7 linked regions of the Oryctolagus cuniculus genome follow. The protein of the gene in region 1 purifies or fractionates together with the protein of each later gene. This does not show direct contact. Links are inferred from orthologs where the notes say so. Each region holds a gene or a part of one and is shown in the gene's direction. Other genes may lie near its edges.

Region 1 (3,778 bases):
TTAAGGCTGTAAGTAAGGAATATGAGGAAAGCATTGCCAAGTGATCTCGTTAGAATGAGGCTTAGTGAATGAGGAATGGGAACCTTAAAGAAAAGAAAAGTTGGGGTAGCTGTTGATTTAGCTGTTTGGAAGGCAGAGTGATAGGGAGGTATCTTCTATCTGCTGGTTCACTCCTTAAATGCCCGTAACAGCCAGGGTTGGACCAGGCCAGAACTTTGTCTAGGTCTCCCGTATGAATGACAGGGACCCAAGTCCTTGAGCCATCTTCTGTCACCTTAGATGCATCAGAAGCACAGAGAAGCCAGGACCCGAACCAGCACTCTGATACGGGGTACTGATGTCACAAGCATGACTTAAAGTACTGTGTCATGGGAACCCGGGGCTGTGGTGTAGTGGAAAAAGTAGCAGGTAAAGCCACTGCCTGCAGTGCAGCGTCCCATATGGGCGCTGGTTTGAGACCTGGTTGCTCTACTTCTGATCCAGCTCTCTGGTATGACCTGGGAAAGCAGAAGGTGGCCCAAATGCTTGAGCACCAGCACCCATGTGGGAAACCCGAAGCAGCGTCTGGCTCCTGGTTTCCTATCGGTCCAGCCCTGGCCGTTGCGGCCATTTGGCAAGTGAATCAACGGATGAATGATCTTCTCTCTCTGCCTCTGACTCTGCTTTTTGTAACTCTATTTTTTCAAATAATAAATCTTAAAAAAAAAAAAAAAAGGGCCCCAGGACAGAGGAAAGAAAAAAACTACTGTGTCACAACACTGTCCCCTTTGACTTTAATTTTGATTTACTGTTATTGCAAGCTTATTTTTTTTAATTCAAAGACTTATTTTTTATTTTCATTTTTTTTATTTGTTGAGAGACAAAGCTCTTACATCCGCTGGTTCTTTTCTCAAATGCTGGTAAAAGCCAGAGCTAGGCCAGGCCGAAAAAAAAAAAACAGGAAGTCTGGAACTCGAGTGGTGGGTGGCAGAAACCCAAGCTCTTGAGCCATCTACTCCCTCCCAGGGTGCACAATTAGCAGGAAACTGGATTGGAAGTGGAGCAGCCCAGACTTGAACCAGGCATTTCAGTACGGGATACGGCTAACCCACTGGGGACTTAACCACTGTGCCTAATGCCCTCTCTAGTATCTTATAATTTAATTCTACTCCTTATATAATTTTATAATTATACTGATTGTAAATTATTCATATGAGAAAAAGGTTTTTTCTGCCCCTTTAAGTTTATTGTCTTGATAGAGAAGGAATAGATTGAAATCTGGAATTTCTAAAAAATATCAATGTCATTATTATTTTTTAAGATTTATTTATTGGGGCCGGCGCCGCGGCTCACTAGGCTAATCCTCCGCCTTGTGGCGCCGCCACACCGGGTTCTAGTCCCGGTCGGGGCGCCGGATTCTGTCCCGGTTGCCTCTCTTCCAGGCCAGCTCTCTGCTGTGGCCAGGGAGTGCAGTGGAGGATGGCCCAAGTCCTTGGGCCCTGCACCCCATGGGAGACCAGGATAAGTACCTGGTTCCTGCCATCGGATCAGCGTGGTGCGCCAGCTGCGGCAGCCATTGGAGGGTGAACCAATGGCAAAAGGAAGACCTTTCTCTTTGTCTCTCTTTCTCACTGTCCACTCTGCCTCTCAAAAAAATAAAAAAAAATAAAGTGGCGCCATGCTCACTTAGTTAATCCTCCGCCTGTGGTGCCAGCATCCCATATGGGCGCCGGGTTCTAGTCCCCTCATCTTCCAGTCCAGCTCTGCTGTGGCCCAGGAGGGCAGTGGAAGATGGCCCAGGTGCTTGGGCCCCTGTACCCACATGGAGACCAGGAGGAAGCACCTGGCTCATGGCTTTGGATCGGCACAGCACTGGCTGTAGTGGCCATTTGGGGGGGTGAACCAACGGAAGGAAGACTTTTCTGTCTCTCTTTCTCACTGTCTACCTGTAAAAAAAAAAAAAAAAATTATTTATTTACTTGAGAAGCAGAATTACCAAGGAAGAGACAGCTGGTCTACTCCCCAAAGGACACAATGGCCAGAGCCAGGCCGATATGATACCAGGATCCAAGAGCTTCCTCCATGTCCCCCAGGTGGGTGCAGGGCCTAAGCACTTGGGCCAGCCTGCACTGCCAGGCTATCAGCAGGGAGATGTGAGGTGAGAATACTTGGGAATAGCCATGTCAGTTTTTATTTAAGCTACTGCTTGCAGTGCTGGCATTCCATATCAGTTTGAGTCCTGGCTACTCTGCTTCTGATTCAGGTCCCTACTAATGTGCCTGGGAAAGCAGCAGAAGATGGCCAAGTATTTGGGCCCCTGCCGCCCACGTAGGATGGAGTTCCAGGCTTTTGGGTTTGGCTTGGCCCAGCCTGGGCCATTGGGGTCATATGGGAAGTGAACTAGTGGATGGAAGCTCTCTTCTGTCTCTCTGACTCTGTCACTCTGCCTTTCAAATAAAATAAATAAATCTTTAAAAAAATCCTAAGATCATTATAATAAAATTAGGATTCATTCTGTAAGTCAACTGCTAGATTCATATTATTACCATTCTTCTTTAACGATCTTCTACCTCCACCTCCTGCAAATAGGGGCAGTTATGCTTTATAGTTCAAAAAGCAAATGCTTATGTTGGATTCTAATAACAAAGTTTTATTTCAGGTCTTTGTTGGTAAAATACCCAGAGATTTATACGAGGATGAATTGGTGCCTCTCTTTGAGAAGGCTGGTCCAATTTGGGATCTGCGTCTTATGATGGATCCACTGTCTGGGCAGAACAGAGGGTACGCATTTATCACCTTCTGTGGAAAGGAAGCTGCACAGGAAGCTGTGAAACTGGTATGTGATAAATAAACATCCATTGTTTAGCAAGCTATTATTTGAGAGAATAAACTCAATTAAGAATGTTTGCAGTTAGTGTTGTCTCATTTTCTTTAATTGTTCCTTTGAATGTTTTTATATTCTTAGTTGGTATATGGCCTTTGCTTTAGTTTTTATGACTCTAAAATAAATATATTTAAGAAATAATGTATTTTAGAAAGTCATGATTTTGAGAAGTTATCCATTAAGATTGATTAGTATCAAAAATTTTATTCAGATATTTGATTCCTTAAATTCTCTGTTGGTTTTTAGAAAGTTGTCAACTTTTGTTGTTAAACTTCAGGATGGGAGTCTTAAAATATGAAGGTTGGAATGGGTTCTGGAGAATAACAGTGGGTGATAGTGACTTTGGACTCAATTCAGAAAAAAATAATCTTTTCTTTTTGGCCCAGCCCAATTATACAGTTGGTGTATTTCCTAATTGTCTTCTTGCTCTTTTTGTTCCCAGACCATTGAGTCCTGTCTGACTTTACTCTCTCTCTCTCTGTATTTCACTGTTTTATAGCCAGTCTATTGGGTCTTCTTTGTCTTTAATATTTCTCTCCTTTTACTGCTTGATAGCCAATCTTCTAGTAATTTCCTCTCTAGGACTTTTTACAACTTTGGGCTTATATAAATAAAAGTAGTAGAAGTAGTAGGGAAAAGTTCTGTAAATTATGTCTTCATTTCTACTATATACCGAGATGTTGTTATCCGAGAATCTTAAAATAACATTTTTTTTTCATATTCTTGACAGACATCCATCCAAAGGCTCACTTAATGTAGTTCTAGCCCTTCTAGAATGGGTAATCTCCCTTACCAAGGCTTTTGGACTCAAGAGTGGGCCTTGAGTTAGTTTCTTCCTGTCTTGACCAAGATTTTAGTTCTTACTAGGCATTTTTGCCTCCAAACTTGTTCATTTAAAACTAAGAAATTTCCAAA
Region 2 (4,205 bases), on another chromosome or scaffold:
TCTTCCCAATTCTGAATGAGAGCAAGGAAGAGTTCAAATTCGTCTGTGGCTTGTTGGCAAGCTTCAGCAACATAGCCAAAGGCCAAGTGAATTTCTGACACTATTTGGACGCTTCTACTTCCGGGCTGTCCTAGTCCCCTCTGTTAATTTGAGGATTACCAGTACTGCACACTATTAATCTCAACTCAAATAATCTCACGGATGTCAGTATTTCACCTTATGCCTGAATACAGGGTAAGACACATTTCTTAAAAACTGTTGAAAAGCAGCTTTTAAAAACGAACATTTGTGGATCAGTTACATCACCTCAGCCTACGGGACAAGATTTGCATTTCTGTACTTCCACATTTCAAATCAATAGCACAGCAGTCTTTTTGTGCAGCAGGTCTCTTTCCTCATTCCCACGGGGATCGCTGGCCTGGCACTGTGGGGACGCTGGGGGATTAGGATGCTACCCCGGATTGCCACTCTCAAACTTCAACCACGATCCAATCACGGATTTCTTTTTGAGAGCGAGGTCTCTCATGGCCCGTCTGCCAGACTGTCGCCCTGTTCCATCTCAGGAGCCTTTGGTTTGGGCACCATTGGGTCCCCGCGGGGACAGGGAGAAAATCCACGGGTGGCAGGTCCTAGCTGCGCTTCGCCCTCCTCACCGCACGCCCGGGCCTGAATGACAAACATCAGGCCCCACAGAGGCCTCTGCAAGGCCACTGACGCCATGCGTGTGGCTGCCGCGAAGAGCGCGCTTTGCGGATGCAGACCGGAGGAGGGGAGAAGCCGCTTTCCCAGGCCCCGCACCGGGGGCTGCCGAAGACACAAAAGAAAGGCTTCCCGAATTTAAAAGGCCATTCGCCAGGCCGGCTTAGAAAAATGAAAGGAGATACGAGGCCGGAGGTGGGGGGGGAGAGGGGGGGAAGAAGGGACGAACCAACTCTCCGTGTGCTGACTGCCAGGCTGGGTTAGACAAGCCAGAGCGGAAATAAAATCCCGAGGCGTTTTAAAACGGTATAGCAGGAGGGGCACCCAGGACGGCAATACTAAGATGGAAGAAAAGGTGGAGGGGTTCGAGCTGAAAACGCCAAGCTGAGCTCTGCTAGCATTTCAAGCCGAGCAGCCGCCCAGGCTGGGAGGCCAAGAGCAGAACGAGCTCCCTCGGCAGAAACCCAGTGGACTTTGCAGCGGGCCGGTTAAACCGAAAGGCGGTTTCCTTCTCCTCCATTTGCTCGGCACCCAATAGGAAGCGCACTGCGCGGCCTGTGCCGCGCTCCCGACCCGGGCCTCGGCGTGGGGGCGGGGAGGCAGGGACGGTGCTGGGCGGGGCCGAGCGCGAGCGCGCTCCCGCCTTCCTGCTGCGCGGCGCGCCCGTCAGCGCGGGGGGCGGGGCGGCTATATTACGTGCGCGGCGCCGCCCCTGCGAGAGGACGTTGCGTGCTCGCTCGCGCCAGGCGAGTCTCCGCGTCTCCCTCGCGAACTCGGTGAAAGGAATTGGCGCCGTTCGACACCAGGCGGGTCCTCTCTGCAGCACGAACCCACCTCCAGCCGCAGCCGCCGCCCGGACCGAGGAGCAGCCGCAGCAGCCGCTACCAGTGGCCGAGTGAGCGGAGCCCAGTCCGAGCCAAGCTCCCTGCCGCGAATCGGGGCCCTCATCATGAGTTCCTCGCCTGTTAATGTAAAAAAGCTGAAGGTGTCTGAGCTGAAAGAGGAGCTCAAGAAGCGGCGCCTCTCCGACAAGGGCCTCAAGGCCGAGCTCATGGAGCGACTCCAGGCTGCGCTGGACGACGAGGAGGCCGGGGGCCGCCCCGCCATGGAGCCCGGGAACGGCAGCCTAGACCTGGGCGGGGATTCCGCCGGGCGCTCGGGAGCAGGCCTCGAGCAGGAGGCCGCGGCCGGCGGCGACGACGACGAGGAGGAGGAGGAAGAGGAGGAGGAAGGGATCGCCGCCCTGGATGGCGACCAGATGGAGCTAGGAGAGGAGAACGGGGCCGCGGGGGCGGCCGAGTCGGGCCCGATGGAGGAGGAGGAGGCCGCCTCGGAAGACGAGAACGGCGATGATCAGGGCTTCCAGGAAGGGGAGGACGAGCTCGGCGACGAGGAGGAGGGCGCGGGCGACGAGAACGGGCACGGGGAGCAGCAGCCTCAACCGCCGGCGGCGCCGCAGCAACAGCCTCCGCAGCAGCGCGGGGCGGCCAAGGAGGCCGCGGGGAAGAGCAGCGGCCCCACCTCGCTGTTCGCGGTGACGGTGGCGCCGCCCGGGGCGAGGCAGGGCCAGCAGCAGGCGGGAGGTAAGAAGAAGGCGGAAGGCGGCGGAGGAGGCGGTCGCCCCGGGGCTCCGGCGGCGGGTGAGTGCTGCGTTGTACGTTGCGCGCGGCGGGAGGCCCGCGTGGGGTGGGGACCGGGCCCCCGGCCTGCCGGAGCCCCCCGCTGGTGGCTGGGTGGGCGGCGGTGGGGGGAGGGAGGGGTGCGGGGAATCCCAGATTAGCCGAGAGGCCTGGGGCTCGGGGTGTGTGTGTGCGTGTGCGTGTGTGACGGCGGTGGCAGCGCCTCCATTATGTGGCTCGGGAGCCGGGGCGGGGGTGGGGGCGGGGGAGCTGCAGCTGCCGCGGGAGGGGGGGAGGAGCCCCGTCGGCCCGCGGTGGCGCCGCCGCGCTGTGTGTGCGCGCGGTGCGGGCACATGGCTCAGGGCGGGGGGAGGGGAGAGGCCCGAGGTCCCGGGGCGGGCGCGCTTTGGCGGCTCCTCGCCGCGGTATTGTGCAAGGAGCGCAGGGGCTCGGCGTGACGTCACTTCCGGCGGGAGGAGCCGGCGCGCCGAGCGGGGCGGAAGATCCGTACAATGCGGCCGCGGGCTGCGCGGGCCCGGGTGGGGGAGGGGCCGCCGCCCCCGCGCCCCTCCCCCTCCTGACCGCTCGTCGGGATCCACGTGGGCTCGGGGCCTCCGGCGCGCAGTTGCGCTTAAGCTTTCTTGAAGCCTCCGGTAGACGGGCCGAATTAGTAACGTCTTTAGGCTGCGTCACTAACTCCAATCCAATTCCAAGCTGATAGTTTGAATTCACATTCGACCTGGCGGTTCAGTATTCACCCAAAACTCATTAATTCGATGCTTTTAGGCAACTTGAAATAAAAGCGGCTTTTTTTTCTTTTGGCGGGGGTGTTGGGTGGCTTGAGCACTTATGAGAGTGTCGTGTGTTATAGGAGACGGCAAAACAGAGCAGAAAGGCGGAGATAAAAAGCGAGGTGTAAAAAGACCTCGAGAAGATCATGGCCGTGGATATTTTGAGTACATTGAAGAGAACAAGTACAGCAGGTAGAGGATGCTAACGGATTGTGCGTTGTTGTTGCCCGTTCTCCGTGGGTGGGCAGAGACGTATCAGGAGCCCATTCTGTCTTTCAGAGCCAAATCTCCTCAGCCCCCCGTTGAAGAAGAAGATGAGCACTTCGATGACACAGTGGTTTGTCTTGATACTTGTAAGTGAAGCTGTTTCACCCGCTCCCCCACGCAGTCCTCAAATGCCTTGGGTTTTTTTGACAATGTTAGATTGCAGTACGTTTAACCTAAGTGCAGAAAACATGTACAGTTTTCTAAAAAGCAAAGATAATGATTGATACCCAGAGTGCAGTAGTTTAATATTAATATGCCATCAGTTGTGTTGAATTGATTTTACAGGCTTTGGCAATTTTAATTGTAATTTAAAGCTTCTTATTCTTGAATGTGAAATTGATGCCAATTTTGGACTAGTTAGCTAATGGAAACTGTTAACGTGTCCTACAGTAATTTCCTTTTATTTTGGGATTGTTAAGTCAGCTACTTGGGCTGGTTAAATACTTAACTGATGACTTTTCCCATTAGCACTCAAGTATATTCCCTATTCTAAAAGACTGTAATACTATTTCAATAACTGCTCTTTTGTTCTCAATTCCAGTTCAGTAGCTGCTGCTTTAACATAAGTTGATTTCTTCCAAAGACCTGGGGCAGCAGCAGTGGGCCATCACTGGGCCACTAGCTTTCTTCAGCAGCGAATGGTATCAATGGCAGCACTGTAAATACTACGTTACCCAGTTGGGTTGCAATCGAGTATGCGGAATTATTGCAAACCTTTAAATGGGCCGTGGCTGTCAGATTTTACTTAAATTACGTTGGGTTAGCGTTTGATCAGAATAGGATGCACCAGTCTTTCCAGTGTGAAATAGAACCAAGAGTAGAAATCGTA
Region 3 (4,456 bases), on another chromosome or scaffold:
ATAAAACTTTTTAAAAAAGATTTATTTATTTAAAAGTCAGAGTTACATAGAGAGAGAAGGAGAGGCAGACAGAAGCCGGCACCGCGGCTCACTAGGCTAATCCTCCGCCTTGCGGCGCCGGCACACCGGGTTCTAGTCCCGCTTGGGGCACCAGATTTTGTCCCGGTTGCCCCTCTTCCAGGCCAGCTCTCTGCTGTGGCCCGGGAGTGCAGTGGAGGATGGCCCAAGTCTTTGGGCCCTGCACCCCATGGGAGACCAGGAGAAGCACCTGGCTCCTGCCATCGGATCAGCATGGTGCGCCAGCCGCGGCGGCCATTGGAGGGTGAACCAACGGCAAAGGAAGACCTTTCTCTCTGTCTCTCTCACTGTCCACTCTGCCTGTCAAAAAAAAAAAAAAAAAAGAGAGAGACAGAGACAGAGACAGAGATCTTCCGTCTGCTGGTTCGCTTCCCAAATGTCTGCGATTGGGCCAGGCTGAAGCCAGGAGCCAGGACCCCACCCAGGCCTCCCACACAGGCCGTCTTCCTCTGCTCGGGCCCCTGGCCAGGGAGCTGGCGGGAAACGCAGCAGCTGGGACGCCAGCCTCGCCGGTGGGGCTGCCCGGTGTCCCAGCGCCAGCCCCTGACCCCTGCAAGGATTTCAGAAACGACGCCCACGCAGGTCCCGGCGACCGCACCTCACTCAATGCGCCCCAGGACTTGTGAGCCAGCCCTGGCTGTCGTGGGCGTCTCGGGGGTGAACCAGCAAGACCGCTCTGCGTCCCTCTCCTTCCCAATAAGTAAAAATTGTGCCAAAAAAGTGAAGTTAGTAATCTGGGTATCATGAACGAGGCAACGGAGCTCCCCCTAAAGGCATCAAGCACAGTGCGGTCCACTCTCCACCACCACGGGCTGTGCACCCGAAACATTCCAGAAAGCAAACAGCGCGTCTGTACTGAACACGCAGACTTTTCTTCATGCCCTAAATGATAAAGGATAATTTTGGCGCAGGCTTCACATTGTGTTAGGCATCGTTAAGTGAGCAGCGGGCCATTTCACACTCACGGGCAGAATTCGGTCCTGGGACCAAGTGCCCATGCAGGACACCCAGGAAATGCCCGTCCCAGCTCAGGCCCTGGGCACCTGCCGTTAGCCGCGCCCCGATCGCCCTGGGCGCCTCTGTCCCCCTCGCTGTCCCCTCCCGCCCCCCACCCTGCTCTTGTCCTTGAGATGGCCACTACCTGAAGTTGTATTTTTCATCTAAATACCTTTACACTCTCCCTCAGTACAAAGTAAGGAACCAAAAATCAGGTTTTCACACCTCCAGCGCCTAAACAGCGATTGCTGGACGCCCACTAGCCGGACGATCAACGCAACCAACACTATTCCCGTAGGGACTCTTTGCCAGGTGGCGGAAGGGTATTACCCGTTCTCTAGTCAATGCGCATGCGCCAAAGATCCGGGAAGTGTGCTAGGTAAGGGGGCGGGGCTTCGGGATGAGCCTCGCGGGCAAAGGCGGTTGGAGTCCAGGCGCGAGGTGGAAAGCGGCGCTTGGGGACGAGCGCGCGTGCGTAGTACGGCCGCAGCCAGCCGCGGCACGCAGTTGAAGGCGCCGGGAGGCGGGGCAAGGGCCTCGCGCGTGCGCCGTGCCCGCGGCGGCCCCGGTGTCTGTAGGTCGGTTGCGCGCGGCTGGCGCTGCGCGTGCGCAGGGCGACGGCGGAGGGATTTGAGGCCGGGCTCCACCTCCTGCTCCCGTTGCGAGCCGAAGCCGCGCGGGCTCGCGAGCAGAGGCCTGCTGCGCGCGCGGGGGGCGGGCGACCGAGTCCGACGGCGCCGGAGTCGAAGCCGGAGCAGGAGTGCTTGTTGCTGAAGGGCCGCCGCAGCCGCCGCGAGCCCCCGGACCGACGCCAGGCCGAGGAGGGCACCGCGCGGCGGGTGAGTGGGACCCAGTGGTCTTGAGGGGGTGCGGGGCCGCTACCCACAAGCCCCTGCGGTGGGCCGGGGTCCCCTCCCTGACGGCCGCGTCCCCCCTGCAGCACCGTTCCGCGGCCCTCGCCTAGAATTTCCCGGACACTCGGCGCTCTCCCCAAAACACGCCCCCGCCCGCCGCCGTCCCCTTCCCACAGGCCCTTGCGCGTTTGTTGCCCTTTCCCCGCCCCCTCCCTCGCTTCTCGGGGCGCCCTGGACCATTACCCACAATGCCTCTCGCCGCCGGGAGCCCAGACCTGCTACCCACAAGCCCCTGCGTGGTGGGGGCGGGGAGCGGGGTGCGCGCCGACTTCCGGCTACCCAGCGCCTGCGACCCCCGCCCCGGGCGCCTCCCTCGGCCGCAGCCCCGACTGCCCGCTCGCCCGCGCTTCGGCCTTTGTTCCCCCGGCGGCGGCGGCGGCGGCGGCGCGCTCCCCGGGCGAGGCAGCCGCCACAAGGCCTTGACCCTCTCTCCCCAGACCTGGCAAGATGACCCAGTTCCTGCCGCCCAACCTCCTGGCCCTCTTCGCTCCCCGGGACCCCATCCCCTACCTGCCGCCCCTGGAAAAGCTGCCGCACGAGAAGCACCACAACCAGCCCTACTGCGGCATCGCGCCCTACATCCGGGAGTTCGAGGTGAGCCAGGCCGGCTTCGCGGCTGTGGACACTTCCAGGCCTCGGGGGGCCTGGCAGGGCAGCCCCTGGAAGGCGCTGGGGAGGACGCGGCGGGAGGGGTCGGCCGCGGACGCCGGGTGCTTCTCTGCTGTGTGGTCTTGGGCGGTACAGAATCCCCACGATGCATTCGCTGTCTTTGACAGCAGGACGGAGAATAAATAGCATTTACGGCAGAGCGCTTGGTACCAAGCAGTCGATACGTGTCAGCATTTGTGACTGTATTTGCCATGTTTTTAAAACATTTATTTTTCTTTATTTGAAAGATGGAGTTAGAGAGAGAGGGGTCTTCCATCCACTTGTTCACTCCCCAGATGGCCGCAACAGCCATAACTGAGCTGATCCGAAGCCGGGAGCTTCCCTGACTCCCACACGGGTGCAGGGGCCCAAGGACCTGGGTCGTCTTATACTGCGTTCCCAGGCCGTGGCAGAGAGCTGGATCAGAAGTGGAGCAGCGGAGAGTCGAATTGGCAGCCCCTATGGGATGCTGGCGCTGCAGGCTGGGGTGTTAACCCACCGTGCCACAGCACCGGCCCCTGTATTTGCCGTTCTTGTTAACGGAGTGTCGTTCCTGAAGAATTGGCACTGTGTGGGTGGCGTAATTAAGACCGTAGCCTGGGGCTCTCAGATCTGCACTGTGGGTCACCGTTGGTGCAGCTTAGGCTCCGGGATCTCAGTGTTTTCATTTGTAAGGTCGGGTGATGACCCCGCCTCAGGGCGGTCCGTGTCACAGGCCGCTCCAGTGCTGTAGGGAGAGGCTGCGATGGAGGCTCCAGAGCCGAGGTGACACAAGGTGGCTCTTACTGGATTGGCCACTCCCAGTGAACTCGTGCTTGGGAAGTGTTATTAGCCAATTAAATTAATTTAATGGGCACAGGCCAGCAACTCTGTCTGGTGATCGCTGCCTACGGAGTGGCTGCGAGGGCTCAGAGAGCTGCCTGGCCCTCAGGACGTGCCCAGGTGTCAGCTCCTGCTGCTGCTCTCCTGAGCAAGCGCCCCCGCCCCCACTCTGCTTTGTCACGTCCTCAGACACGTCGTCGTCGGTGCAAGACAGGGACCTGTGAGACTATCTTAAAGGAATTAGTATTTATTTAATTGAAAGGCAGAGTTACAGAGGAGGAGGGGAGAGACAGAAAGGTCTTGCGTCCACTGGTTCACTCCCCACATGGCCGCAGTGGCTGGAGCTGTGCTGGTCTGAAGCCAGAAGTCAGGAGTTTCTTCTGGGTCTCCTGTGAAGGTGCAGAGGTCCACGCACTTGGACCATCGTCTGCTGCTTTCCCAGGCCTTAGCTGGACCAGAAGTGAAGCAGCCGGGACTCAAACCAGTGCCTGTGTGGGATGCAGCGCTGTAGAGAGGTTTCATCTTCCACGCTGCTGCAACAGCCCAAGATTGAAAATTTCAATAAATGTAGTGAGATTATTTTGAATGAGAAGGAGAGAGGGAGAGACAGGTCTTCTGTCCACTGGCTCACTCCACAGATGGCTGCAGAAGCTATGGCTGGGCCAGGCCAAAACTAGAAACCAGGAACTCTGTCCAGGTCTCCCACGTGGATGACAGAGACCAAGCACTCAGACCATCGTCTGCTGCTTTCCCAGGCGCATTAGGGAGGTGGATTGTAAGTGGAGCAGCTGGATTCCAGCCGGCACTCTGATAGAGGATGCTGGCGCCACAGGTGGCAGCTTCACTGTGCCATGTGTCAGCTCTTGGGGTTTTCAAAAGAAACACCTGGGGCTGGCGCCGTGGTTCACTTGGTTAATCCTCTGCCTGCAGCACCGGCATCCCATATGTGCACCGGGTTCTAGTCCCGGCTGCCCCTCTTCCAGTCCAGCTCTCTGCTG
Region 4 (4,385 bases), about 100 Mb from region 1:
CCACATAGCCCAGGTTCCTGTCTTCCCATGTGTGAGGATACAACTGGGAGAAGGAGACAGAGGTGAGCAGAGAAGCAGGATTTATCCAAGGATGAAAGGATAGCACACACCCAGGCTTGGGTCCTCCTTTTAGGGCGTGGGAATGGTGCTCAGGGCCTGATGGAAGATCCAAAGGAGGGATCCTACCAATCCTGGGATGATCCCGCCTCACAGCTTCACTTGCCAGATGCACAGTATTTGCATTTAAATCGATGCCATCACTTGGGCTTTTTGTAACCTTTCCACGCCTCAGCGTTGGTTAATGTTGTTAATGTCCCCTCTCGCTCACTGCAAGTTCCTTCACTCTGCTTTGCCCTGGCCGGGAAAGCAGCCGCTCTGGTTCCTCTGATCAGGGTGCATCGTATGTATTCTCTTTTCGTCTGGCTTCTTTCGCTTGACACGGTCCGGGTTCCTCCATGTTTTTGCACTCGTCAGCGATCTGCTCTTGTTAGATTTTCGTAGCACTCCGTTGTGTACACATAGACCAATTTGTCATCCACTCTCCATGAATTCAGTACGGCCAACTCGCCGAGACACGTGTAAATACCTCTAGGTTGTTTCCAGTTCGGGCCTCACTTTTCTGGGGACCACCACAAGGGGCTGCAGGCCCCCCCCCCCCCCCCCCCCCAGTGAGTGAGAGGGGACGCCGAGGAGGAACAAACGTTAAGGAAATGCAAATACCGTGTGTCCGTGTGGCCGGTGAGGGTGAGGCGGGATCATGCCAGGATTTGCAGGAGCAAAAAACAGGAACAGGAGAAGACGGGACCCGCCACTTTCTTGACTCTCCTTCTCTGATTTGTCATTCCAAGACTTTGTCAATTTTCCTTCTAACACCTCAAAGCTTGTTTCTCCACCACAGTCCATACACTCCTTCCCTTCTAGGGAAGGTACCTTTTACACGATGGCGGTAGAGGCAGAAGATGCGTTTCAAAAGCAGCAAAGATTGGCGAGATGGTTTTAAAGGAGGGAGTACTGTAGCAGCATGTGGAACTGAGAAGCGAAAAACAAAGCCCTTAGCAGAGGATGGTTTCGATCCATCGACCTCTGGGTTATGGGCCCAGCACGCTTCCGCTGCGCCACTCTGCTACTGGACACCAACCTTCCCGCTATTATAAAAGGCAATTCACTTGTTCGTCGTTTTTAAAGTCTATCCAGCGCCACCTAGTGTTGGCTCAAAAAATTTGTAATTACTGTCACGCCTGTTCTTATTGGCCGGTTCCTGGCACGATAGCCGTTTTTTATTGGTCCATAAGCCCGGTTCTCCAAAGCAAACCAATAAGCATAAGCGACAGAGCAAGGCGGGAGCCAATCGCAGCGCGTTTTGTTGGGACACGCCGGCCAGACGCCTTTCCAGTTGTCTGCTTCTCTGAGGAAAGGGGCGGTTGGTGCGGCCTCCATTGTTCGGTGTTAAGGGCGCCATGAGGTAGGGGGACCGAGGTGCTGGAAAGATTGTGGGTATCCGACCGAGAATGTTGGGAAGGTGGGTCGAGAGGAGTCGGAGGACCGGGCAGGGCCGCGCCTCTGCGGCCGGCCGGAACCCCGCGAACTCCGGGGCCGGCAGCGCGGGGAGCCCGGCGGGTGGAGGTGGGAGCGCGGGCCCGGCGTGGGCTGGGGCCGGGGCGGGGAGGCGGCGGGCGCCCGCCTCCGCGAGGGCGTCGTGCTCAGGCCGCCGGGGGAGCTTCCCCGCGTGCGGCGCTGGTCCTGACGGCCCGCGTGTGACGCCCGGCATGTGCCCGGCCGGGGCGCTGAGCGCCGGCTTTGGGGGCTGGCGTGCCCCCGGGTTATAGGGTCTTTCTCGCAGGGGCGCTGCGCGACGCTGTTACCTGGCGGATAAGTCGTCCGGCAGCAGGAGGTCACGAGCAGTGGGGGGCCGGGCGCCATTCGGGACGCGGGGTGGGAGGGGGCGGCGGCGGGCGGCCGGCGGGAAGCGAGGCCGGGCCGCGGCGGCTCCCAGGCAGTAACGTCTGTGCATTTCCAGGGGTGACAGAGGCCGTGGTCGCGGTGGGCGCTTCGGCTCCAGAGGCGGCCCGGGCGGAGGGTGAGTGCCAGTTTTCCTTGCTAGTTTGGGGCACCTAAGAGGAGGTTGGCGGGGTCTGAGGGTGTTTTTGTGCGAGCCGGCTGCGGGGTCACACCCTGCTTCTGCTGCGGGCCTTGCTCAGAAGCCCACTCGGCCCTCCGCAAGCTGTGCGTCTGTGTTTTCCAAATTGCTGGTGCATCGTGTACATCTTGCTTGATTGCTGTGTGCTGAATAATTTGAGCTGTTTGTCTTGTTGCAGGTTCAGGCCCTTTGTGCCGCATATCCCATTTGATTTCTATTTGGTAAGTGCTTTGGGTTGGTGAACGGGTCCTGACCCCTGGTCACCAGCAGATGGAGAAGTGGTGGAGGCCAACAGCCCCCTGACATGGTGGTCGCAGTAGGAGAAGGGATTTGGGAACGGCCTTGGGGTTGTGTGTTAGCATACTTGGCAATAACCTGATTATAATCTTTGAACAACTCATTGCATCTCTGGCTTATTTGTTAATATAAAGGTAGTAAGAACATAAATTATGGCTGTTCTTCTGGGTCCTTGTTGGAAGGTTTTTTCAAAAGATTTATTTATTTGAAAAGCACAGTGTCAGAGAAATAAATATCTTGCATCCACTGTTTCATTCATCAAATGGCCACGATAGCCAGGGCTGGGTCAGGCTGGAGCCAAGAGCCAGGAATTGCATCCTGGTCTCTCACATGGGTGACAAGGGCCCAGGAACTTGGGACATCATCCACTGCGTTCCCAAGATCATTAGCAGGCAGCTGGATTGGAAGTGGAGCAGCCGGGACTCTGTTATCAGAAGCCAGTGGCAGCTTAACCCACTGCACCGCAAGTGTTGCAGAATTTTCTGTGTTCAAGTTTTTCTGTTGCACTAATAGAGGAATAAAACCAGTCTCTCCTGTATGTTGTTGGTGGTCAATGGTTTATACTTGTTTGTTGGTGATTTAGTGTGAAATGGCTTTCCCCCGGGTCAAGCCGGCCCCTGATGAGACTTCCTTCAGTGAAGCTTTGCTGAAGAGGAATCAGGACCTTGCTCCCAATTCTGCCGAACAGGTGTGTGCTCGTGGCTCCCTTTCTGAGCTTTCTCCACAGAAGGGAAGTGGAGAGTAAGAATAGGTTCCCTGAGCCTGAGGCCCACCAAAGCTTGCATTCTTGTCTCACTGTGGTTGGAGATGGGGAGCGAGGTGAGCGTCTTAAACACATGGCATAGACATTTGTATTTTCACTGGGGAATCTGTCTGTGGCAAGTTCAAGACCAGAAGCACTGAGTTGTTTTTAGAACCTTCTGTTGATGGCTGGCAGCTTCCACAGAAGGGATCAGGAGAAAATATCCAAACTCAGAGCAATTGCTTACAACTTTTCATTTTGGGATTTTACTGTTTTTCAGGCTTCTATCCTTTCTCTGGTGACAAAAATAAACAATGTGATTGACAATTTGATTGTGGCTCCGGGGACATTTGAAGTGGTGAGTTTCTGATGACAGCCCCAGGAAAGGGCGGCCTTGGTGATGTGCAGATTTCCTTGGCTCCTGTCTCTTAGTTTTTCAGTTGCCTGAACCTGGACAGTACAGTGGGATTCCTTTCTTTGTTAATACTGATCCTGGGGATACGGTTTGTGTTGATACCAGCCGGCCATGACGGGCCAGGCTTTCATGTGGTTTCTTGGGGTAGGATTTTACCTTTGCTACTTCCAAGTCTGAGTAATAGGAAGCTGTTACCTATCACAGAGTTCTGAGAGCATCGAGGCATCTGAAATTTTTTTTCCTGAAATCTCTTTCCCAACAGCAAATTGAAGAAGTCCGGCAGGTAGGATCTTACAAAAAGGGAACAATGACTACAGGACACAATGTGGCTGACCTGGTGGTGATACTCAAGATCCTGCCGACGTGTGAGTGTCTGTCTTGTGACAGTGGGAACGGAATGTGGCAGGTTCTATGGCTTGAGGCCTAGGCTCTTTAAAGCTCAGCTTTCTTGTGAGAAAAGATTCTTTTTACAACATGACAAAGGAGAAACTGGAGTGAGTGAAAGAATGTATGGCCGGTTCTATAAGGCAGTATTTCTCAACTGGAGGCAGCCTGGGGAGGGGAGGCAAAAGAATGAGCCCATCCAGAATGTTATCTTTGCCCCCGATCTGAAAACCCAGTCCATAAAATAGAAGGATCCTGTTCCCTAAGCCTTCAGTTTCTGGTCAGGCCTTAGCTGCCCCTCGTTAAAGTATTTATTATCTGAATGTAGGGCAGAAATGAGAGTGTAAAACATCTTGCAGATACGGAGAAAGCATACATGATAACGAGATTATTACAGCACCTGTCTCCCT
Region 5 (2,528 bases), on another chromosome or scaffold:
TCTCACTGAACGTAGCTGGGGCTGCTCTGGGTATCTGATGGCACAGTTGGAGAAAGGATCTGCCAGTGCAGCTAACTTAGCAATCTGGGGTCTGTGCTAAAAGCTGTTCCTCTTGCTTTAGTGCTTGGTGCTGGCACCAACTCGGGAACTGGCTCAGCAAGTGCAGCAAGTAGCTGCTGAATACTGTAGAGCTTGTCGCTTGAAGTCTACTTGCATCTATGGTGGTGCTCCCAAGGGACCACAGATCCGCGACTTGGAGAGAGGTAGGAAAGGAAAAGGTGGTTTGTCAACTAACCAGTGCTAAATGTTATGTGTTAACGTTTATGCATTTAATTTGAAGGTGTGGAAATCTGTATTGCAACACCTGGAAGACTGATTGACTTTTTAGAGTGTGGAAAAACCAATCTGAGAAGAACAACTTACCTGGTCCTTGATGAAGCAGATAGAATGCTTGATATGGGCTTTGAACCCCAAATAAGGAAGATTGTGGATCAGATAAGAGTAAGTACCCTTAATGTCACTTTTCACAAGTCTAAATTTACTTTTGGAGTACAGTGTAATCCTTTCTCTGTCTTAGCCTGATAGGCAAACCCTAATGTGGAGTGCTACATGGCCAAAAGAAGTAAGACAGCTTGCTGAAGATTTTCTGAAAGACTACATTCATATAAACATTGGAGCACTGGAATTGAGTGCAAACCACAACATTCTTCAGATAGTGGATGTATGTCATGATGTAGAAAAGGATGAAAAGTAAGTATTATATACATTTAATGGCTTTGTGTGGTTGAGTAGCTTTCATGGGTTATGTCAAAATTGACTTTCAATTGATGTAATCTGAATAGGTTCATGTAAAATTAAGTCCGCCAATCCATCTTGAGATTTCATGTCCTTCTGTAATTGGTTGTTCCATTTATGGCATTCTTACAGGAAGATGAAAGTCATGTGTCTTGTGGTTTACTTAAGGACCCAGGGTAGGATTGTCAGATGGTCCTACAGGTGTTTCCTCTTTGACTTGGAGCCATGCAAAATTGAACTTAATGTTTCACTGAATGTAAATGTGCAGCCCCAACTGTGGACTTGTTTTAAGACTCAGGCGTTTGTTTTGTCTAGACTTATTCGTCTAATGGAAGAGATCATGAGTGAGAAGGAAAATAAAACCATTGTTTTTGTTGAAACCAAAAGAAGATGTGATGAGCTTACCAGAAAAATGAGGAGAGATGGGTATGTGGGATTCTCCATGTATAGTCCTTTAGGAAAGGGCAAACAAACTTGAGCCAAGAGGATGGTTGTGGGTTTCATAGATAAGGCTAATCTGATAGTTTGGGTAAAGCTGTCAGTGAAATTGAGGCTTGGCAAAAATGGTTAAGCATGAGAATCTGATTTGAAGCATGAGCCTACTAGGATAAATCTTCTATTTTAGGTGGCCTGCCATGGGTATCCATGGTGACAAGAGTCAACAGGAGCGTGACTGGGTTCTAAATGGTAAGTATTTCAAAAGGAGAAAATTTTTTTTCTTAAGATAGGCTTCAGAGTAATGATCGTATATTTGCCTTCCTTTGTAGAATTCAAACATGGAAAAGCTCCTATTCTGATTGCTACAGATGTGGCCTCCAGAGGGCTAGGTTAGTACAAACTCGCATTCATGGCTTGGTTTCCCAGAAGATCTCCATATAGTTTTTCTAAAGAAAGTTTATTGCTTTCTTTAACCTCTGCATTTTTTCTAAGTTTTTTTCACATAAAGGTGCAGTCTTTGTGGCAAGGCCTAGGCATGACAATCGGAGGACTCGAGGGGGATGGAGGACTAGTGATCGGCTGGCTGCTTCCAGTCGATTAGAGAGGTGAAAAACTGAAAGTGTGCCAGTAATCTTCAAAGGGCAGAACATATCACCTCTGCCCCATAAACTGTTCTCTCCGGGGGAAAACAATGGAAGTACCCTCACAGTTCACTGCCGTGGTTTCTTCCGTCCCATGCTTTGCATGACTGCCATGGTACAGCATTGTTTGAAACTGTTCACTGTGATCTGTGGGTCTTTGAGTTTCAGTGAGTTTGCTGAAATGTCGAAGAAATAGTTCCAAACTTCAATGTTCAATGAAATTTTTGTTCAAGTTTGAAATGGAGAGAGCAGCTTTAAAAGGTACTAAGCCTTTTACAAATTGGTGAGTACTGGCACATAAGACCTAGAGCAGGAGCAACTTCTCACACTTAGAATCAGTGGGAAAAGAAAACAGTGCTTTGAAAGTTCCTCCCTCACCTTGTGACACAGTAGTCGTCATGTCGAGACCTGCCAGAGAGAGACACATTCTCAAGTGAATCCTGGCTTCTTGGAAGCGCTTGCCTAGACGAGACACAGTGCATAAAAACAACTTTTGGGGGACAGGTATGTTTTTCTTGCAGCTGCGGTTGTAAGGTCTTGGCAAGACAAGCAGTGTGGCCTGAATTTTGAACTTCCGATGAGTGTGTAATGCAAAGGACCTTGTACATTTTTGTTTAAAGGTCCTCAAAATGAGCACATGAAGAGGTTGCTGTG
Region 6 (4,177 bases), on another chromosome or scaffold:
ATAAGTAGATGCTAAGCGGGTAGTGGTGTCTGTGATGTGAGTGAGTTAGCATCTTGGCAGGGTTTAGTGTGTGGAACTCCTTGGGACCGCAGGCACTTAGTTGATACATCCAAGACCGTTGACCGTTGGCAGTGGCCTGGATGCATGCACAAAGGCCTGTGAGGCTAGAGAGTACACCTCTAGTTGCCACTAGGAAAAATTCAACTTCTAATGCGGTGAACTGGGTTGCTTTGTAAAACTTCTGGATTATTCAACTGAATGCCTTGTCCAGAGAATGAAAATGCAGATGTGCAGCCACCTGAGTTTGGGAGGAAGCAGGCAGATAATAAAAGCTTTAATTCTGAACACTGAGCAGAATTGGGTACTCTCAGTCACCTTCTCAAGTAACACACAAAGGCCATCTTTCTGTTCCCTAGGAAGCAATTTTGGAGGCAGCGGAGGCTACAATGATTTTGGCAATTACAACAATCAATCTTCAAATTTTGGACCCATGAAGGGAGGAAATTTTGGAGGCAGAAGCTCTGGCCCCTATGGTGGTGGCGGCCAATATTTTGCCAAACCACGAAATCAAGGTATGGTATGAATGTAACTGGGAGATGAGCAAGTAAAAGGGAAAGGAGTTGGTTTGTTGGGTGCATAGCTGATGGTGCTGCCCTTGTCAGGTTTCGCTAAGGCTGTTAAATAGTCACTCCTAAGTTTGAACTTGTCTCATCCCATTGAACATGAAAGCAGGGCTTTTGCCGTGGGCACTTGAGAGGTTAAAAGGCCCAATCTTGTTCTAGGTGGCTATGGTGGTTCTAGCAGCAGCAGCAGCTATGGCAGTGGCAGAAGGTTTTAATAACTGCCAGGTAAGTAAACACCTTTTTTTGTGTGTGCTTTTTTTTTTAAGTTTTTATAATCGCTGCTAAACCCTAATGTAGCTAAGCAGTGTGGCATAGTTAACATTATAATATTGCAGTAAAATTGTGGGTATTAAGTTCAGATAATATTGATAATTCAGATGAGCAAAATTTGTGGGAAACAACTTAATATTGGATTGTAGCCTTGAGTCTTAATATGTTTAGATTAACAACTTTATTCCATATTGTTCAACAGGAAACAAAGCTTAGCAGGAGAGGAGAGCCAGAGAAGTGACAGGGAAGCTACAGGTTACAACAGATTTGTGAACTCAGCCAAGCACAGTGGTGGCAGGGCCTAGCTGCTACAAAGAAGACATGTTTTAGACAATACTCATGTGTATGGGCAAAAAAACTCGAGGACTGTATTTGTGACTAATTGTATAACAGGTTATTTTAGTTTCTGTTCTGTGGAAAGTGTAAAGCATTCCAACAAAGGGTTTTAATGTAGTTTTTTCTTTTTTTTTCTTTTGCACCCATGCTGTTGATTGCTAAATGTAATAGTCTGATCATGACGCTGAATAAATGTGTCTTTTTTTTAAATGTGCTGTGTAAAGTTAGTCTACTCTGAAGCCATCTTGGTAAACTTCCCCAAAAAGTGTAAAGTCAGAATTCATCAGGGTGATGCCAGGTTCCATTTGAGATTTATTTACAAAATGCTCGGGTGGAGAAGCTGTTCTCAGATACATGAGTTACTGTTGTGACCTTCTGAAGTTCACCATTAAAAGCCACCCAAGCAAAGTCATGGGGTTATTTGGTTATAAGAATGATTGTTGGCACATCCTTTGCAATATATCTAAATTGAATAATGGTACCAGATAAAATTACAGATGGGAATGAAGCTGTGTATCATCCATTATCATGTGTAATCAATAAACGATTTAATTCTCTTGAATGGAATGACAACTGTATGGATTTGGGACTGGCAGAGATTTGGACTTTTCCCTACCCTCCACCCCTGATAATGTTGAATCCTACCACAATGCAAGTTCAAAACTCTGCCAGAGAATAGAAGCCAGCTGCTGGCTAATGCTTCCACTCCATTAAGTCCACAAAGATTTAGAAGTGTTTTAAGAGACATTTCTTAAAAAATACCGGTACCAGTAAGACTTGAATTCAATATAAACAGGTTTTTATTAAAGGAAAACTGCAGTTCTGCTGGGTCATGGGTCGGTGTGTGGGTGGGTCGGTCTGTGGAAATGTATGTTGATTACACTGGTTGGGGGGATTAAAACCATGAAGTGGGAGGAACAAATGTTTCTGTATAATTTCATATTAACTGCAGTTTTCCTTTAAACATGACACAAGACCACACAATCATCTGAAAGTGTTAATTGTATATATAGATAATGATTTCTAAACCTTTCATAGTTCATGGATACCCAATAATTGTTATTTGTAAATAGGTTCTTTGAAGCCTACCCTCTTTAATTTCAGTGCCATTGTATCTAGTAGTATAGATCATTGTTTACTAGTAGGACTGTATATGCCATCCCAGGGGTGTGTTGGAACATTGGGGAGGAGGGTGGGAGGGAGGTGGGTGGAAGGTGGTGGGGGGTGGGTGAGCGTGGACGGTAGTTCATGATACTGGCTGAGTTTGCAATAGCAGGTGGAACCTTTAACTGTTGAGGGAGTTTGCAGATACATCAGGATTCGTGACAATGCCTTTAAAGATCCAGGAGAGATGTTCAGCTACTAGGAACTGCTAGCAAGCATAGCGCGAATGGCTCCGAGCTCAGACTCTACAGCTGAGAGTAGACACTTGTGGTATGTGGAGCACAGATAAGCCAGGGGCAGGCCACGGCACCCTCCATGAAAGCTAGGAGGAAGTGAAGTTTGAGTGACCATCGCCAGAAAGGAGGCAGACGAGAGTAAGGCACACCTGACTCTTAGGACTAGCAGTCAGAACCAGGAGGAAAGGTTTTATTGCTATGCTGGTAGGTAAGAACAGATTTTACTTACATCCATAAAGTTAACCTAAAATCCAGTATTCTGTTAAATTTTCCTTAATATATTGAGCCAAAACTAGTCCAGTTAAGCTGAACTTGGTTTTTCTGGAGAAATTGACACCCTATTGGTGGCTCCTAATTGAAGAAAGTAATTAATTCTGTGATAATCTATTTTTGCCCTTTAATTTTATTTGCTGTCCTTTTACCCATTTCCTTGAAATAATGGCTCAAATTAATATATTGGAATCTTCCCAAAATGGGGGGAGGGCTGGGTGGGTGGACCATTAGTGGGTGGGGGTGGTTTAGCTTGATGGGACTCTGTCTTCGAAAAGAGCCAGTTCTAAAGGCTGTTTACTTTTCTAGGGAAGAATCTGCTACACGCTTATCAGCTCTTATTAAAAAAATAATTATAATTAAACCCAGAAACTCCTGTCCATGGCTAGAAAGGTAAGTTTCTATAAAATAATGGCCAGCCAAGAGTTCTCCATATTTCCAAAGTCAAAGGGAGAATTACCAACACCCAAGCACAAGGTCCAATTGTCCATAACCAAAGCAGCCAGATTCCCAGTGGTGGCAGTTAGCTGATGACAGAGCCCTGTCCTAATGCGTTAACGACTTCACCCCTCTCTTTCCTTTGCAGGAACATCCTTGTGAGGACAACCTTTGAGCCACTCCATTTCTCACTGCTATGCAGTTGATACTAGCTGTTTTGCAGCTCTAATTATTCATTCCATTTTGTGAATGAGCTTTATGAATAATAAATCATTTTATAAATACTTGGTCTGCTTCATGTTATTTTCCCATTTTAAATTAGGGATTCAAAAATGTAGGATATCAGTGATAAACTGGTCTTGGTAAGACATTGAGGCAGAGAAAGATCTTCCATATTCTGGTTTGCTCTCCAGATTACAACAGCCAGAGCTGTAAAAATCCAAAGCCTGGAGCCTCTTGGATCCCCCATGCAGGTGCAGGGGCCCAAGGACTTGGCCATCTTCCACTGCTTTCCCAGACCATAGCAGAGAACTGGATTAGAAGTGGAGCCACTGGGACTTGGACCACAACGATGTGGGATGCCAGCACCACAGACTGGGGCTTTAACTTGCTGTGTGGTGGCACCAGCCACAGGCAGTTGCCTTGACTCCATGTCTCAGATCAACTGACTGCCTTTCCCTTCTGGGGGCAGAACAAGCTGCCCAACATGGCAGCTTTTAAATGGGGGTTGGTTCCTGACTGAGACGGTGTGCTGCATTGACACTGCCGCATTCAGGATCATGGTTTAGAGCCAGTGGGCACTCGGACAGCAAGCCAGTGTCAGGCTGCTCCAACAGCCAT
Region 7 (3,778 bases), on another chromosome or scaffold:
CCTGTGGTTCTAAAGTGTTCCTCCTAAGTGTTCAGTTGTAAAGTGTAAGAGATTTATTCCTGCTCTTTTCTTTTGAAATCAACAGCCAGCTGTGAAGAGCATGGCCCCCAGGAGAAGGTTAATGCCACAGGACCACAGTTTGTGAGTGGAGTGATTGTGAAGATCCTTAGCACAGAGCCCCTGCCTGGCAGGAAACAAGTCCGGGTAATGCTTTTGAACCCCTGGAGTATTTGTCCTCTTCTCCTCTTGCTTCCCCATGTGAAAATGGGTTGAATATAAGAAATAAATGAAATTACAGTTTGTATTTTTATGGTGAACTACCTTTAGAATTTTGACTCTGTGGTAACTCTTGAGTTTAACCTGAAGCAAAATCTAAACTCAAATTGCTCTCTGAATCGAATTTATACTGAACAGCCAAACATCCTTCTGTACAGGAAATTTGCAACTTGTGCATATTTTTACTGGTACTCCTGTTGTCTGCTGTGAGATTGAATAAGAAAATAGCCTATGGTCATTCTAGATACAGGAAATGCTTTCCCAATACTTACTTTTTAGAATACTTTATTTGTTAAATATGGATTTTAGAAAAATATTTGGCACCAAAACATTTTTAAAGATTTAATCAACATTAGAGCTGGTCTGAAATCATTTTTAATGTAATCATTTCATGCTGTCTCATTTGGGAGCATATTAAGAGAACTTTTAAATTTGCTTTTCTTGATATTCATACTTTTTAATAGATTTCCAAATGATTAATATGTATATTTTTAATATACGATGGACCTGGTTTTGTCTGTTAATGAAGCCTTTGTCCTGAAAGAATACAGAAACTTTTCTAGAAAATGGGCTTGTAATTTTTTTTTTCAGTATTTTCAATCCGTGGTGATTGTTTGAAGTTTTTCAAAGAGTTATAGGTATTTTTGAAAAGCTATTTTACATTTATGTGCAACTAAATCCATAGTTCTATGTTATTAATACTCAAATTGTCATACATACAGGTCTATCATATTTTTTCACTTTGTGCAGTTTTTCTTCTATAGCATTTTATACCAACATAGCAATACTTCTTTCTTATCAATGAAATCATATTCCTTTGTGTGAGATTACCATATTTTACTCACAAGTAACCCTGTCACCTATTTAGGTGAGGCACTTATTTTTTAAATTTATGAAATGTTTTATAACATTAACAAATATTTCTTAATCCTTTTATACTGATACTCAGCACCATGTAATGTGTTGTTTTTGTTTTACATGGACCACACCAGTCACATTTTTTAGTAACCACTGAGGTTGGTTGTTGTTCACTGTGATCTTGTCTAGGCACTCTTTATCTGAAACCCTACCCTAATATCCTGCAGCCATCACTAAGACATAAATTTTTTACCCTCTTTCCAATATTGATAAGTTATTTAGCCAATCCCAAATTGTCATTGGGCAGCTTGCTTTCAGAGTAGGGTGGTAACATGAATTCTGCTGTGATTAAATTGCAAATGATTTAACACAAACATTACTCAAAGCTTGTTATTTGGAATCAATTGACATTATCTGAATGGTAATTAATAATTACACATTCTTCATTTATGATCCTCAGAATCATAAAATAACTGTGTTAATCAAGTTAGTAGTTACTTACTTTTCGTGGAACAAAACCTGAGCTACGATGGTGATTACTGCTGTCTGTGACTTGCCAGTGTGATTTCCAGGCTAATTTATCATTCTAAGGGTTTTAAATTCTAAGGGTTTTAAATCAGGAGATTAGCCTGACATTATAATGGATATTTAGTAAATATCTTCTAATCTGTCAGAAAAAAAATAGTTATAAAACTCACTACAACCAGAGAACACGTTCAGGTTTCACCAATTAAATGCCACTTTTCTTGCTCTGTTTCTAAATTTAGGACTAATTTACTTGATAACAAAATGGGAAGAATTGGCAAGTATATTTCCAGTTTTTTTTTTTTAATCATTAAGCAAATATTTACTAAGTGCTTGTTTTGGGATAGATGGTAAACTAAGTATTGGGATGAATTAAGCTCATCTGTGGCTTCTAGAGACTCACGGAATTTTATTACTAACTAATAAACTTTTCTTAGTCTATGATGAAATAGTATTTCCAGATATTGCTCAGTTCTTTCCATAATACAGTCATCTAAGAATTCAGCAACTAAGAATAATCTAAATTAGCTGTTTCTTGAAAATTTGTGTCAAAAATAAAGTGAGATAAGACTTTTTTTTACAGTAGACAATCTCCTTATTTCTTTAGTTTTATGAATGGAAGCTTTATGGTAAATTACGAATTAGCAGCATAACATTCCTGCATAAATGCTTTGTGTTCTCTGTGGAACCTGCTGTGAAAAAAAAAGTTGATTAAGAATGCAGGAATCTTGTTAATTTGCCCTCACAGCAGGCATTATATGTAAGACTTTTCCCTTGTTGGGTAACCACTACTTGTTTAAAAGAAGTTATTTAGGTATTTTAACAAAAACCTTTGTTGAGCTGTACTCTGGTAGATCCACTGCAGAACCCAGGGTGTTTTTTAGGTTTAATAAAGAAACCTTTTTCCATGAGTTGTTCTAAAAACTTTAAACATTTTTACACATGATTTCAGTATTAAGTGATTTTATACAGGTAAGTGAAAACAAAAATTCTCTAAATCTTTTTTTTTTCCTTTTGTTTCCTTTTACTAATAACCCTGGACTTGAACCCTCTCCTGTGATAGTGGGGGAGACTGTTTGTACTTTCTGCTCTACAGATGTGTTGCCCTTGTTGAATAATATTCCCATTGTAGTTCATAGTTTCAAAATAATGTTGTAAAGATACAAAGGAAAATAAATTTTGATTAGAGTTGTTGTTAATTGGTCATCTTCTCTGTCCATATCTGTCAAAACATTAGTGTATATTTTAGGTATGATTTATATCAGGCATTTATTCCTCATTACTCTGTATAATGACATATAATCTGATATAACCACTGGAATAATTTGAAAGTTATTATGAAGCATTTTTATTACTAGTTTTAATACTTTCTGCAAAACTTCAATGCAGGATACTTTGGCTGCAGTCTCGGAAGTTGTTTATGTTGATTTGCTAGAAGGAGATACAGAATGCCATGCTAGATTTAAAACTCCTGAGGATGCTCAAGCAGTAATGAATGCACACACAGAAATCAAGAAGAAACACTGCTGGAAATTGGAAGTCCTTTCTGGTAAAACTTCATAGAAATTTATTTTTATAACAATTCTGAATTGTGAATGATTGTATCATATTTTCTGAGTTTGAGAATATAATGCTTTAAATGTGTTTTTTCCTTAAGTATCCTATATTCAAACATCAGAGTTTTTGTTCATTTCTAAGGTGATCATGAACAGAGATATTGGCAGAAGATTTTGGTAGACAGACAGGCCAAACTTAATCAACCTCGAGAGAAGAAGAGAGGCACTGAGAAGGTAATCAATTCATATTGGTTTTGGAGGTTAAATAGATTCTGAAAGTCAGTAGTGAGTAGATAACTTTAGTTTTGCTTCTACATAACAGAAACCTACAGAGTACCCTGTTTTAGGTTGAAAAAGAATAGTCTTTATCTTGGCTACAAAATGTATGAAATTAAAATTTATTTTCCCACAGGGATACATACTTTTAATTAGAGCTTCCCATTTTTTCCTTTTTTGAAAAACTGATAAAATTTAAATTTACAAGGTCTTCATTTCTGGCTGCTCTGCTTTGTTTGACATAAATGATTATAGAATGTCTTAATGGTAAAAGCATGGTGTATTTA

Evidence for each region.
Region 2: the proteins of HNRNPR (region 1) and HNRNPU purify together in Homo sapiens (affinity purification with mass spectrometry; 3 studies listed by BioGRID and IntAct, with this or other methods). This does not show direct contact. The link is inferred for Oryctolagus cuniculus from reciprocal best matches to the Homo sapiens genes HNRNPR and HNRNPU.
Region 3: the proteins of HNRNPR (region 1) and SNRNP70 purify together in Homo sapiens (affinity purification with mass spectrometry; 3 studies listed by BioGRID and IntAct, with this or other methods). This does not show direct contact. The link is inferred for Oryctolagus cuniculus from reciprocal best matches to the Homo sapiens genes HNRNPR and SNRNP70.
Region 4: the proteins of HNRNPR (region 1) and ILF2 purify together in Homo sapiens (affinity purification with mass spectrometry; 3 studies listed by BioGRID and IntAct, counting the BioPlex papers as one, with this or other methods). This does not show direct contact. The link is inferred for Oryctolagus cuniculus from reciprocal best matches to the Homo sapiens genes HNRNPR and ILF2.
Region 5: the proteins of HNRNPR (region 1) and DDX5 fractionate together in Homo sapiens (co-fractionation; 3 studies listed by BioGRID and IntAct, with this or other methods). This does not show direct contact. The link is inferred for Oryctolagus cuniculus from reciprocal best matches to the Homo sapiens genes HNRNPR and DDX5.
Region 6: the proteins of HNRNPR (region 1) and HNRNPA1 purify together in Homo sapiens (affinity purification with mass spectrometry; 7 studies listed by BioGRID and IntAct, counting the BioPlex papers as one, with this or other methods). This does not show direct contact. The link is inferred for Oryctolagus cuniculus from reciprocal best matches to the Homo sapiens genes HNRNPR and HNRNPA1.
Region 7: the proteins of HNRNPR (region 1) and LARP7 purify together in Homo sapiens (affinity purification with mass spectrometry; 4 studies listed by BioGRID and IntAct, with this or other methods). This does not show direct contact. The link is inferred for Oryctolagus cuniculus from reciprocal best matches to the Homo sapiens genes HNRNPR and LARP7.

What each region holds. Positions count from the first base shown.
Region 1 is NC_091438.1:147,595,630-147,599,407, forward strand, and holds part of HNRNPR (heterogeneous nuclear ribonucleoprotein R), read left to right. Parts: intron 1-2,638; coding exon 2,639-2,815; intron 2,816-3,778. UniProt on the Homo sapiens protein: Component of ribonucleosomes, which are complexes of at least 20 other different heterogeneous nuclear ribonucleoproteins (hnRNP). hnRNP play an important role in processing of precursor mRNA in the nucleus.
Region 2 is NC_091444.1:64,895,715-64,899,919, reverse strand, and holds the start of HNRNPU (heterogeneous nuclear ribonucleoprotein U), read left to right. Parts: upstream 1-1,384; 5' UTR 1,385-1,648; coding exon 1,649-2,339; intron 2,340-3,189; coding exon 3,190-3,301; intron 3,302-3,388; coding exon 3,389-3,462; intron 3,463-4,205. UniProt on the Homo sapiens protein: DNA- and RNA-binding protein involved in several cellular processes such as nuclear chromatin organization, telomere-length regulation, transcription, mRNA alternative splicing and stability, Xist-mediated transcriptional silencing and mitotic cell progression.
Region 3 is NC_091449.1:8,223,456-8,227,911, reverse strand, and holds the start of SNRNP70 (U1 small nuclear ribonucleoprotein 70 kDa), read left to right. Parts: upstream 1-1,646; 5' UTR 1,647-1,913; intron 1,914-2,425; 5' UTR 2,426-2,435; coding exon 2,436-2,582; intron 2,583-4,456. UniProt on the Homo sapiens protein: Component of the spliceosomal U1 snRNP, which is essential for recognition of the pre-mRNA 5' splice-site and the subsequent assembly of the spliceosome. SNRNP70 binds to the loop I region of U1-snRNA.
Region 4 is NC_091438.1:44,650,832-44,655,216, forward strand, and holds the start of ILF2 (interleukin enhancer-binding factor 2), read left to right. Parts: upstream 1-1,390; 5' UTR 1,391-1,457; coding exon 1,458-1,462; exon of another isoform or gene 1,463-1,508; coding exon of another isoform or gene 1,509-1,519; intron 1,520-1,840; coding exon 1,841-1,891; intron 1,892-2,017; coding exon 2,018-2,077; intron 2,078-2,315; coding exon 2,316-2,358; intron 2,359-3,017; coding exon 3,018-3,122; intron 3,123-3,456; coding exon 3,457-3,534; intron 3,535-3,853; coding exon 3,854-3,956; intron 3,957-4,385. UniProt on the Homo sapiens protein: Chromatin-interacting protein that forms a stable heterodimer with interleukin enhancer-binding factor 3/ILF3 and plays a role in several biological processes including transcription, innate immunity or cell growth.
Region 5 is NC_091448.1:14,230,143-14,232,670, forward strand, and holds part of DDX5 (probable ATP-dependent RNA helicase DDX5), read left to right. Parts: intron 1-121; coding exon 122-263; intron 264-340; coding exon 341-501; intron 502-577; coding exon 578-750; intron 751-1,110; coding exon 1,111-1,221; intron 1,222-1,420; coding exon 1,421-1,482; intron 1,483-1,562; coding exon 1,563-1,622; intron 1,623-2,528. UniProt on the Homo sapiens protein: Involved in the alternative regulation of pre-mRNA splicing; its RNA helicase activity is necessary for increasing tau exon 10 inclusion and occurs in a RBM4-dependent manner. Binds to the tau pre-mRNA in the stem-loop region downstream of exon 10.
Region 6 is NC_091442.1:57,220,008-57,224,184, forward strand, and holds the end of HNRNPA1 (heterogeneous nuclear ribonucleoprotein A1), read left to right. Parts: intron 1-416; coding exon 417-572; intron 573-782; coding exon 783-838; 3' UTR 839-848; intron 849-1,095; exon of another isoform or gene 1,096-1,791; intron 1,792-3,208; 3' UTR 3,209-3,621; downstream 3,622-4,177. UniProt on the Homo sapiens protein: Involved in the packaging of pre-mRNA into hnRNP particles, transport of poly(A) mRNA from the nucleus to the cytoplasm and modulation of splice site selection.
Region 7 is NC_091439.1:52,302,097-52,305,874, reverse strand, and holds part of LARP7 (la-related protein 7), read left to right. Parts: intron 1-85; coding exon 86-204; intron 205-3,048; coding exon 3,049-3,208; intron 3,209-3,357; coding exon 3,358-3,449; intron 3,450-3,778. UniProt on the Homo sapiens protein: RNA-binding protein that specifically binds distinct small nuclear RNA (snRNAs) and regulates their processing and function.